Linked DNA regions of Rattus norvegicus. The protein of the gene in region 2 binds, or shares a complex with, the protein of the main gene of each other region. Links are inferred from orthologs where the notes say so. Each region holds a gene or a part of one and is shown on either strand. Other genes may lie near its edges.

What was found.
Region 1: the proteins of Nrip1 (region 2) and Esrrg are in contact, whole or in part, in a crystal structure (PDB 2GPP), measured with the Homo sapiens proteins. The link is inferred for Rattus norvegicus from reciprocal best matches to the Homo sapiens genes NRIP1 and ESRRG. Residues at the interface, in NP_001426204.1 of Homo sapiens: Ser378, Leu379, Leu380, Leu381, Leu383, Leu384, Lys385, Ser386, Gln387; in NP_001429.2 of Homo sapiens: Val277, Ile280, Lys284, Phe289, Leu294, Gln297, Met298, Leu301, Gln302, Lys448, Leu449, Glu452, Met453.

Annotation. Positions count from the first base shown.
Region 1 is NC_086031.1:102,094,601-102,098,959, reverse strand, and holds the start of Esrrg (estrogen-related receptor gamma), read right to left. Parts: upstream 2,936-4,359; 5' UTR 2,765-2,935; coding exon 2,709-2,764; intron 1-2,708. UniProt on the Homo sapiens protein: Orphan receptor that acts as a transcription activator in the absence of bound ligand. Binds specifically to an estrogen response element and activates reporter genes controlled by estrogen response elements.
Region 2 is NC_086029.1:28,463,609-28,468,092, forward strand, and holds the start of Nrip1 (nuclear receptor-interacting protein 1), read right to left. Parts: upstream 2,805-4,484; 5' UTR 2,627-2,804; intron 1-2,626. UniProt on the Homo sapiens protein: Modulates transcriptional activation by steroid receptors such as NR3C1, NR3C2 and ESR1. Also modulates transcriptional repression by nuclear hormone receptors.

The DNA.
Region 1 (4,359 bases), on a different chromosome or scaffold from region 2:
CCTTTAAAAAAAAAAGTAACCATACCCACTATAATTTAGGCTTTTGTGATTATATACAGAATTCTTTCTTATTTTTATTCTTCATATTTCTCCATGATAGTATTACTTTGGGAGAAGTCTATCTCAATTCAGGTTAGCTCTTCCTAAGAATGCACGAATCAGAGAGGAAAATAAAAATCAACACCCTAAAACAGACAGAGGGACGCATACACAATAAAATGCACATAGCTCTGTGCAGGGATCCTTCAAACAAGAAACTGTTCAATGTTCACTGTCTGGATTTCAGTGATCAAAGCTGATATTTCCTAGACTGCCACCTCCTCTCCCTGCCCGTTCTGGAGTGTTTCAATTGCCTTCTTCCAACAGCTGTGACAACTGTTAAAACAGTCAGTAAAATTAAGTCCGCTCTATAATCCTGTAGTCAATGTTACATTTTAATCAGAGGTTGAAAGGGATTCGTGAGAGGAGCGCACTCATTTAGAATGATTACACAGACACATGTGTCAAAACCAGCAGATACATTATTTCCGTCTATTTATGTTATCAGCTATTACTGCTATTCAGTGGGAAACAAGCGTTACAGCATTGTGCTCTTGTAAGTGCTGGCGCCTTTCCTAAAATTAAAAAAAAATGTATGTACTTACATAGTTAGAGGTTAACATTTTAAGCTCTCTTAATGGTGGTCAATAAATTGCATGAATCTTTTTAACAGTCTCCTAAGCAGAGATGGTCCAATATTTTCCTTGGAAATTGCATAACTCAGGTTTCATTTCTGTGTATACACACGTGATGGGGTTGAAACCGGCACAATTACTATGAATATTAATAGCATGTATAAATTCTGCGGTTTATTAATTGAGACAGAGAGGCAGATGCATTCATTGCTCAGCCCTGGGTCTTTCGGTCTGTCCAGTGAACCACGTAACCACCACAACTGCACCCACATAATAAATCTGGATTTTTAAAAGATGACTTTTAATTGAGCCAAAAAGGAAGAAAGAAAGAAAGAAAGAAAGAAAGAAAGAAAGAAAGAAAGAAAGAGAAAAGCTAGTTTGAATCTTGCGCCAAAGCCAAAGGGCATGTGCCCTGGTTTCATTTAAATACATCTGTTCTAAGAGGCTTATCTAAACTAATTATTCAAATTAGGTATAAGAAGTTAAATTCAAGGAAACTCCTTTTTCCATGAAGCCTTCGGAGGGATATTTAAAGTTTGCTTTGTTTGTTTATTTGGGAGACAAAGTTCAGACTCTGGGTGAGCTTGAGGCTTTCTCATAGACATGAGAACATTTATAATTCTCCCATCCCAGGTGCACTGTGCTCGACTGGGCAGTCTTACCTTTGTTTGTGTTTCATTTTTTTTCTTGAGCATTTTAAGGCTGGCTCTCCCTCAAGTGTTTCGAACGGATGCAAAGACAGCCTCTCAGTGTTTCCGATCTTAGTCTCTTCCTGTGAGAGCGTGTGCGTACCGTACACTCACTCACACGCACACTCAAACACACACAGGCAGCCGGAGACTACAAGCGGCTTCTCGTGTCCCTCCCTTGATTACGATGCAAAGGGCAGTTGCTGAGGACAGCTAGTGGACTCTTACCACCAACACACTGGCCCAGCTCAGAGTTCTGTGCTTTCTTCACAGTCTATCAGGAGAAGGGTTTGCCAAGAGCGCTCTTTTAAAAATTATAGCAGTTGCTATTACTGTAATGTGAAAGCCATTTAACTGACTCAACAGGAAAGCAAAAGAGACCAGTGACAGCTTCCGTGGTCCATGGATATTTTATCTTAACAGTGGGTTGAAGTTAAGTTTATGATCTCCTCATTTACACAAAAAAAGCCCAATTTGCTTTCCCTAGTTCTGCTCTGGACCTTTAATGAGCTAAATATGTAGAATATCCAAGAAGTCATCCATAAATATCAGCGAACTGGGTTTAATTATACATATATATGTATGTATATATATATATATATATATATATGAACATGATCAACCAAACTCAGGACCTGCACATTGTCTATTTAAGGGAAGATTATTTTTTAAAGTCTCTACTGTTTCGTCTTCAGTTTTCTCCCCTTTAAATATTTATAATGTGTGAAAATCTCATGTTACTTAATGGACTGATTTGCCAGTTAAGTACTGAGTTAATGCTAACCACACAAATACCATTACGCTGGCTCTGAGCAGCACAGGGCTAGTTGCTAAATTGTTCTCTGAAGGAGAATTAATAAATGTACAATTTTGCCTCTAACTCAGCACGGTAAAGGGTGACAGGGAGTTTCAAATATCTGTCAAACTGCAAATACATAAGAGGCACTCAGTAGTATAAATCATTTTGAATATTGTATTTTAAAACATCTTTCCTAGGGAAAATGGATCTGGGTAAAAGATGCATTTTAACAGTTCACTGAGCATTGGTGCCCAGCGCCTATTCTTAGCACCTGAAAGAGAAGTGACTGTCACCCAGCTGTTTTAGTGACAGTCACAGGGCTGCCTCAAAGGTAACACTGGAGTCGGAGAACAATTCTCCACTTACTGAATTAGGAGATCACCCTGCACACAAAAGGCACCAGACAGACACCATCAAGCACCCACACGCACCGAACACCCAGGTCACTACGCTGATCCGTGTGCACACACGCTGCCCGGTCCACTCTCCCGAACACACGCACCCCCACGCCGAGTTGCAAAGGAAAGGAAAAAAAAAGGTACCTACTCTTCTTCGTAGTGCAGGGAAAAAGATTCAGGCAGGCAAAGTTCTACCGAATCCATGTGCGCCCGGCAACCATTATTTGTGTACCCCACCTATAAATCAAAGTTTCCTTGACAGAGCCCGGTGCAATTAACACACGCGTTCTCCTGGTGACAAGCCCATAGGCACGGCCAGTTGGGACCGAGGCTCGCACACTCTCTCCTAATCAAGGACTTAAAGCCCCGATTGGAGCTTATTAATATGAAGTAGGGCTTTACATATGCAGTCCCACCGGCCCAGGAGCGCCTCTGATTGGGGGGCCGCTGCCCAATCAGGAGGGAGGCGACGCGAGCCGCCCGAGCCGCAGCCTGCAGGTAGGCAGGGCAAACGCCTGCCCGGAGCACGGTGGGCAAAGCTGCAGCCGGCTGCAAAAGCCTCAGCGATCCGCAGCTTCCCCCTTATTATTCTTTTAACTCCTACCCCCACCCCCGAGAACCTTTAAAAAAAAATGAAAAAGAAAGAAAGGGGAAAATATCAAGCGTAACTAACTTAACTCACTCTACGCTGAAGAGATTTATGGTTGGTTTTCTAACCCCAGACCTATTTTGTTTTTGCAAAGAACTCAGGCCAATTCGATAAATTTGACCGAAGGACTCTGCTGTGGAAGGTGGGGAAGGAAGTTTATCTGGCCTTACTCTGTGTGTTGAGTTCTCCACCGGGGACGGCTGCTTTTTACTTACTCTTACTATTCTTATTATTGCTGCGTGTGTTCTGCTGTCTCCTTGGCTTCTGCTAATACCTTTCCTTGTTGTGTCCTAACCTAAAGAACATTTAAAATAAAATAAGACTTTCTTCGACATGGTTTCAGCCTAAAAGAACTGACTGGCCGAGCCCTCTGGGGTGGAAGGTAGCATCACGGAAGTACAGAAGAAAAGAGTGCACCGATACAGTTGGAGAGAGGGCCTGTGCAAATTCTGTGGGTAATATTCTCTCTCTCTCTCTCTCTCTCTCTCTCTCTCTCTCTCTCTCTCTCTCTCTCTCTCTCTCTCTCTGACATATGAGGCACACAGCCTTTCAAAACAAAGGTAACAAATTCAGGCTGCACTGCCTACTTCACTTTCCAGGTTTGAGGAGAAGACTGACCGAGGGCGGGGACAGGGAGCGGCAACAAGAACCTTAAATATCAGTGTACTTTGCACAAAATCAATATACGGTTGGTTTTTGTGGCAAGAACATGAAACAGTGTGCCGAAAGGATGAAGCATGTACTTATTTCAGTACAGGAGACATATTCATCTATGTGGATATTTATATTCGTATCTATATGTGAATGTAAATAAAATTATATGTAGATGTGATTTTATCCAAATATTTAGCATTGAGGTAAAGCACGGGTTATGAGCTCCTACACACAGCACACCTGGCTTATTTTAAAAAATTAACTCATCATATTTGCATGTTGCCCCACAGCTTGGCCTACAAGAAGCAGCTTCAGACAGATAATAATGTACAAAAATTATGGCCACTCAGTCAAAAGTATAAAAGACAATGTAAGAGAGAACAATGTTTTTCCTCTTACAGTAGTGTATGGGCTGCCTCTAATTCTCATATAATAAGAATATCTTTGTGTTCTATTTTAAACTATAGAAATATATATGTATATATATGTATATATA
Region 2 (4,484 bases):
TTGGAGGCCATCTTTCAGGCTAGACGGTTAGAGGAGGAGCGTTACTTCCTCCTCGGACAATGTGATAAGCAGAAGGGTAGAGGCTGCCGCCCTCAGGCCTCCTGTTTAACAGACTGCTTTGCCACTCACAAACCTCCAGTAGGACAGGTTATCACTGTTTCACTGACTGTATTCCCAAACACCTTATCCCAGCTTCCAAGACGGTCTACCGTCTCTCTAACCTTCTCAGTGTTTAAAATGTTGGTAATGGCAACATCCCTCTCTCTATACTTTTGTCATCGCTTTTGTCGCCCTCCCCCCCCCAAAAAAAAACCTCAAAAGGCACCGAGAACACTTATTTTGTCACATTTCTTGAATCTCTCGTATCACAGGAAATCTTTTTGCACTCAGGGCCACCTTGGAGCACAAGCTAAAAGAAGCTGTCTTTAAATTTTTTTTCTTTTGAATTAGTATCTTTCGGAGACTGGCCCACTTGAGTTGATATGTCATAATTTTCGGTTCTGAAAGTGTCGTGGATAATTTAAATTGGCACTTGCTATGCATTACTTAAATAAGTGTTCTCCTGGATGGCCTCTGAAAAGCCTGAATTCCTTAATCTTGTTTTGACTATACAGTAACCACGAGGGACACGTCAATGTAAGCAAACTCCAAGAGCAATAAACTAACAAACAGACTCTAGGTGGTGGTATAGGTTATTTTTTTAATCACAACGTTTTGCTCTTAAAACTGGAGGAGTCAGAGGAGCCCTGGCCTCATCCACAAACATTTCTCCATTGCTAACCCACAATTATTTTCAGGTATCTCAATTACAAAAATCCAAGTTCTGCAAAGTTTGGAAACTCAGATTTCTAAGTCTTCTCGTAGGCATGAAAGCTGGTTTTCAACTACCTGTATATAAGCAGCAACCGAAGCCCTCCTTAGAGTTTTGAAGTATACTTTTTAAGGATATTTTCTTCTCGCTCCTTGTACTTTAAGTGTGGAGTCTTCCCAGTACAGTATAGAACAGGCTGGGGTGAGGCTCCAGTTTGCAGGTATTGCCTGCGGCATGACTGACTCTCCTTTGTCTCTACTAAGTCCTACACAGAAAGTTCCTGTTGGATCAATTAAACCCTATGGACAAACTGCTGGGCCAAACCAGGGCAACTCACTTGGAAGGGGAAGATTTCAACATTTTCCCAGGCTGCAGCCACTCTTAGGGGCCATGCATGTGAAGCACCCACCGTTTGCTTAAAAAGTCGACTCCGTCTCTTAGACAAAGGTGGCAACCTGATGATTAAACACTGGATAATTGCATCTGGAAGATGCCGCCCACTTGCTAAACCCATGATTCACTAATAAGCGGGTTCAATGTAATTCATAACTCTAAAGAATGAATTACCGAAGTCCCTGCTTTACAAAACCCAAGAGATAGACTACACATCGTTTAAGCATACACACAGACAGACAGACACACAGACACTCCAATCTTGTTTTACTTTTAGACTGTCTCTCTTTCTCTAAAAACACTGTTTTCGCTCAGTGTCACAATCAGTTACAAGAGCAGACAAACTCCAGCCTGGTGCCATCAAAAAAAAAAGAGTTAAAAGTTCTTGCACCTAACAATGTCCGGACTTCCCTCTAACTAAAATGATCCATTAATTTAAAAAAGTAAAGTATTTTAACGTAAAATTACCTAACGTTTCATACTTCGTTTGCGACCGCCAGAATCCAATTAAATTTCTGACATGATGGAAGGTAGAAACTCGTGGAATGCCTCAGAGATCAACATGTGTCAGACTCACTGCCTGTCCGCCTTTTAAACACAGTGGATTCCTTTGTTCCTTCCGTCTGAATATCAACTCCTGATTAAAATTTGGAAACTACTTTGGGAAGGATGGGAGGGTCTAGGGGAATGTTTCCGCGGAAGAGGGTTTCTTCTAGCAACAATAGTAGTAAGGAGGACAGTGGCACCAGAGAGAAGAGCAGTCTCTCAGGACTTCACCAGGCTCACCCGAGTGAACCCCTCTCGGATGCTGGGGGAACTGGGCTGAGGCCTCGGGTGCAAGGGGCCTCGCCCTCCTCGGCAGGCGGGGAGCTCGTGCCCAGCAGGCCGGGCCTGGGGCTCAGCGCTGTCCCTTCTCCGAGTCACTTTTCCCGGCCGGGAATCGGCGAGCACCGCGCAAGGGAGAAACCGGCGATAGGCGGGGAGCTGCGCGGGCGCCACCGCGAGCACCGCTGGGCGGCAGGACCGAGCGGGGCTGCAGCCAGCGCCCGGGGCTCGGGGCCAACGGGGGCAGCCGGGCGGGCGGGCGAGCTCGACCCGGGCCCCGCGATCCGGCCACCCGCGTGGGTCCCGGCGCATTACACCCAGGGCGGCTGCGCCCCTCGCGCCAAGGCTGGCACGGACGAGCCCGCGGCTGGGAACTCCACAACTTGGCGGCTGCGCCGGCCGGGCCCGCGAGTTCCCGGGGAGAGCCGGAGAGGGGCGCGGCGGCGCGCTGTCCCCGGGATCCGTGTCCCTGGAGCCCCCCGCGGGCCTCCCCCGGCCTCCGCCGCCTCCACGGGCCGCGCACCCAGGCCGTGCCCGGGCGGCTCGGCGTCCGCTCAGCGAGCTCCGCACGGAGCCCGGGCCGCGATCGCCACTCACCGAGGCCGCCGCGGCTCCGGGCCGCCGATCCGCGTCGCTCCCTCCTTCCCAGGTTAGCCGTGCCCTGCGGCCGCGCGAGGCCACGGGCGCTGCGCACCGGCGGGCTGGGGCCGGCTCGTCCTCCGCCTGCGCCGCGGTCGCCGTCGCCTCCCGAGTTCGGGGCTCTGCTGCAATGTCTGCGAGGCTGACTTTGAGCGCCTCGCTCGCCGCCCGCCCGCCGCAGCCGCGCTCCTCCCTCCGCCGCCGACTTCGCGGCGGCCGGGTCCCTCCCCTCGCTGCTCCACGCCATTCAGCTCTTCAGCCAAGTTTCTTAACCCTTTTCTGCCCCTCCCTCCCATTGTCACCCGGGCGGAGCGCGCACCCGGCGGCTTGCCGGAGCCCGGGAGCCCACCCGGCGTCTGCAGGCCTTCTCGCCGGTGCTCCGGGTGGGGGTCCGGGTCTGAGCGGCCTTGAAGGCAGAGGGAGGACGCGGTTGAACCGGAGAAGGGGGGTGCTTTGCTCCCCGAGCCGGCGCCCTGGCTTCCCAGCCGCGTCCAGCCAGCCGCCTGGACAGATTCCCCGCTAGGGGCCAGGCGATAGCCCATGTCACCCTTGCGGGGGCAAACGCTGGGGGCACCAAAGGGGAGTCGGGGCGCCTTAACCCTACCCCAGGTTCCCCACCTAAGGGCTGGCACCTTAAATGTCTCCCTTTCTCCCGTTTCAACCCACAAATACGCGTTCTCTTGGAGCCCTTTACCCACCCTCAATTTTCCACCTCCTTGAAATCTGTGTCCCGCTTAAATTCCGGAAGCCACGGCGCTATAACTCTAGGTCATTTTGACCCCATCCTCAGCACCTAGTAGGACCCAGTAATAAATATGGCATGATTGCAAGCGGAAAACTGGGAAGGAGACCTGAGGAGTGCACAGCTCAGCTCCCTAGACGGACGCAGGACCCAGGAACCTGGTTTATCTTCTGCTGCTTTGTCACTGCGAAGTCTCCAGTAGGGTCTGCCCGCCAATCTGCACCACCCCCAGGAAGGATCTGACCCAACAGGACTAGAAGATGGGCTGGCACTTCTTTAAGCAGCTCTGCTGGGTTCAGAGTCTCAATAAATAACAATTACATCACGGAGCCAGGGTGGCAGTGCAGCGAAACCTGGGTTTCCTGCAGCCTGGTCTTGCTGAACCCGCCTCTGAATTTGAGGGGGGCTAACAGATTGGTGAGGCTAGAAAGTGGAGGGAGGAGAGAAAAAGACGAAACCGTGATCTCTTCCTCTCCTTGTGTTTTCTGCTTTAAAATCCTATTCTCTCTACTCCCTTCATATGTTACTTGTGAAGCCTCCTTTTAACGCTCCCCCTACCCCAGATGTCACGTTTGTTTTTGACTCTAGCATCTTGCCATGAAAAGAATCATTTGCAGAAGTTGTTTTCGCTTGACATAAAAAAAAACAAAAACAAAAACAAAAAAAACAAAAAAACCACTCTAAAGTACATCTTTGGTTCACCCTAAACTCTGAAGTGCTATGCCTGTGTTAAAATACTTACTGACTAAGACAATTTTGTGGATGAAGCTGTCTACTCTCATACACACGTTTTCATATTCTTAGGAATTTCGGTAGCCTTCGGAAGCAGTTATTGATGTACACCGAAACCAAAAATTATCCAAGGGACCCCACTGTGTTCTTTACTGTTATATAATAGCTCTATAGCTATTTTTCCGATTTTTCAAATGAGCAGGGTCTGGAGTATGTTCCCAATCTTTAAAGTAAAGGCAATTTTTCAAATTAATTCTTCATAAAGCTATACCCTAGCTCAGTCCTGAGCGCATGCTAGAAGTATTTTTGCTTAATGCTGATAGTACATATTAAAATACTCTC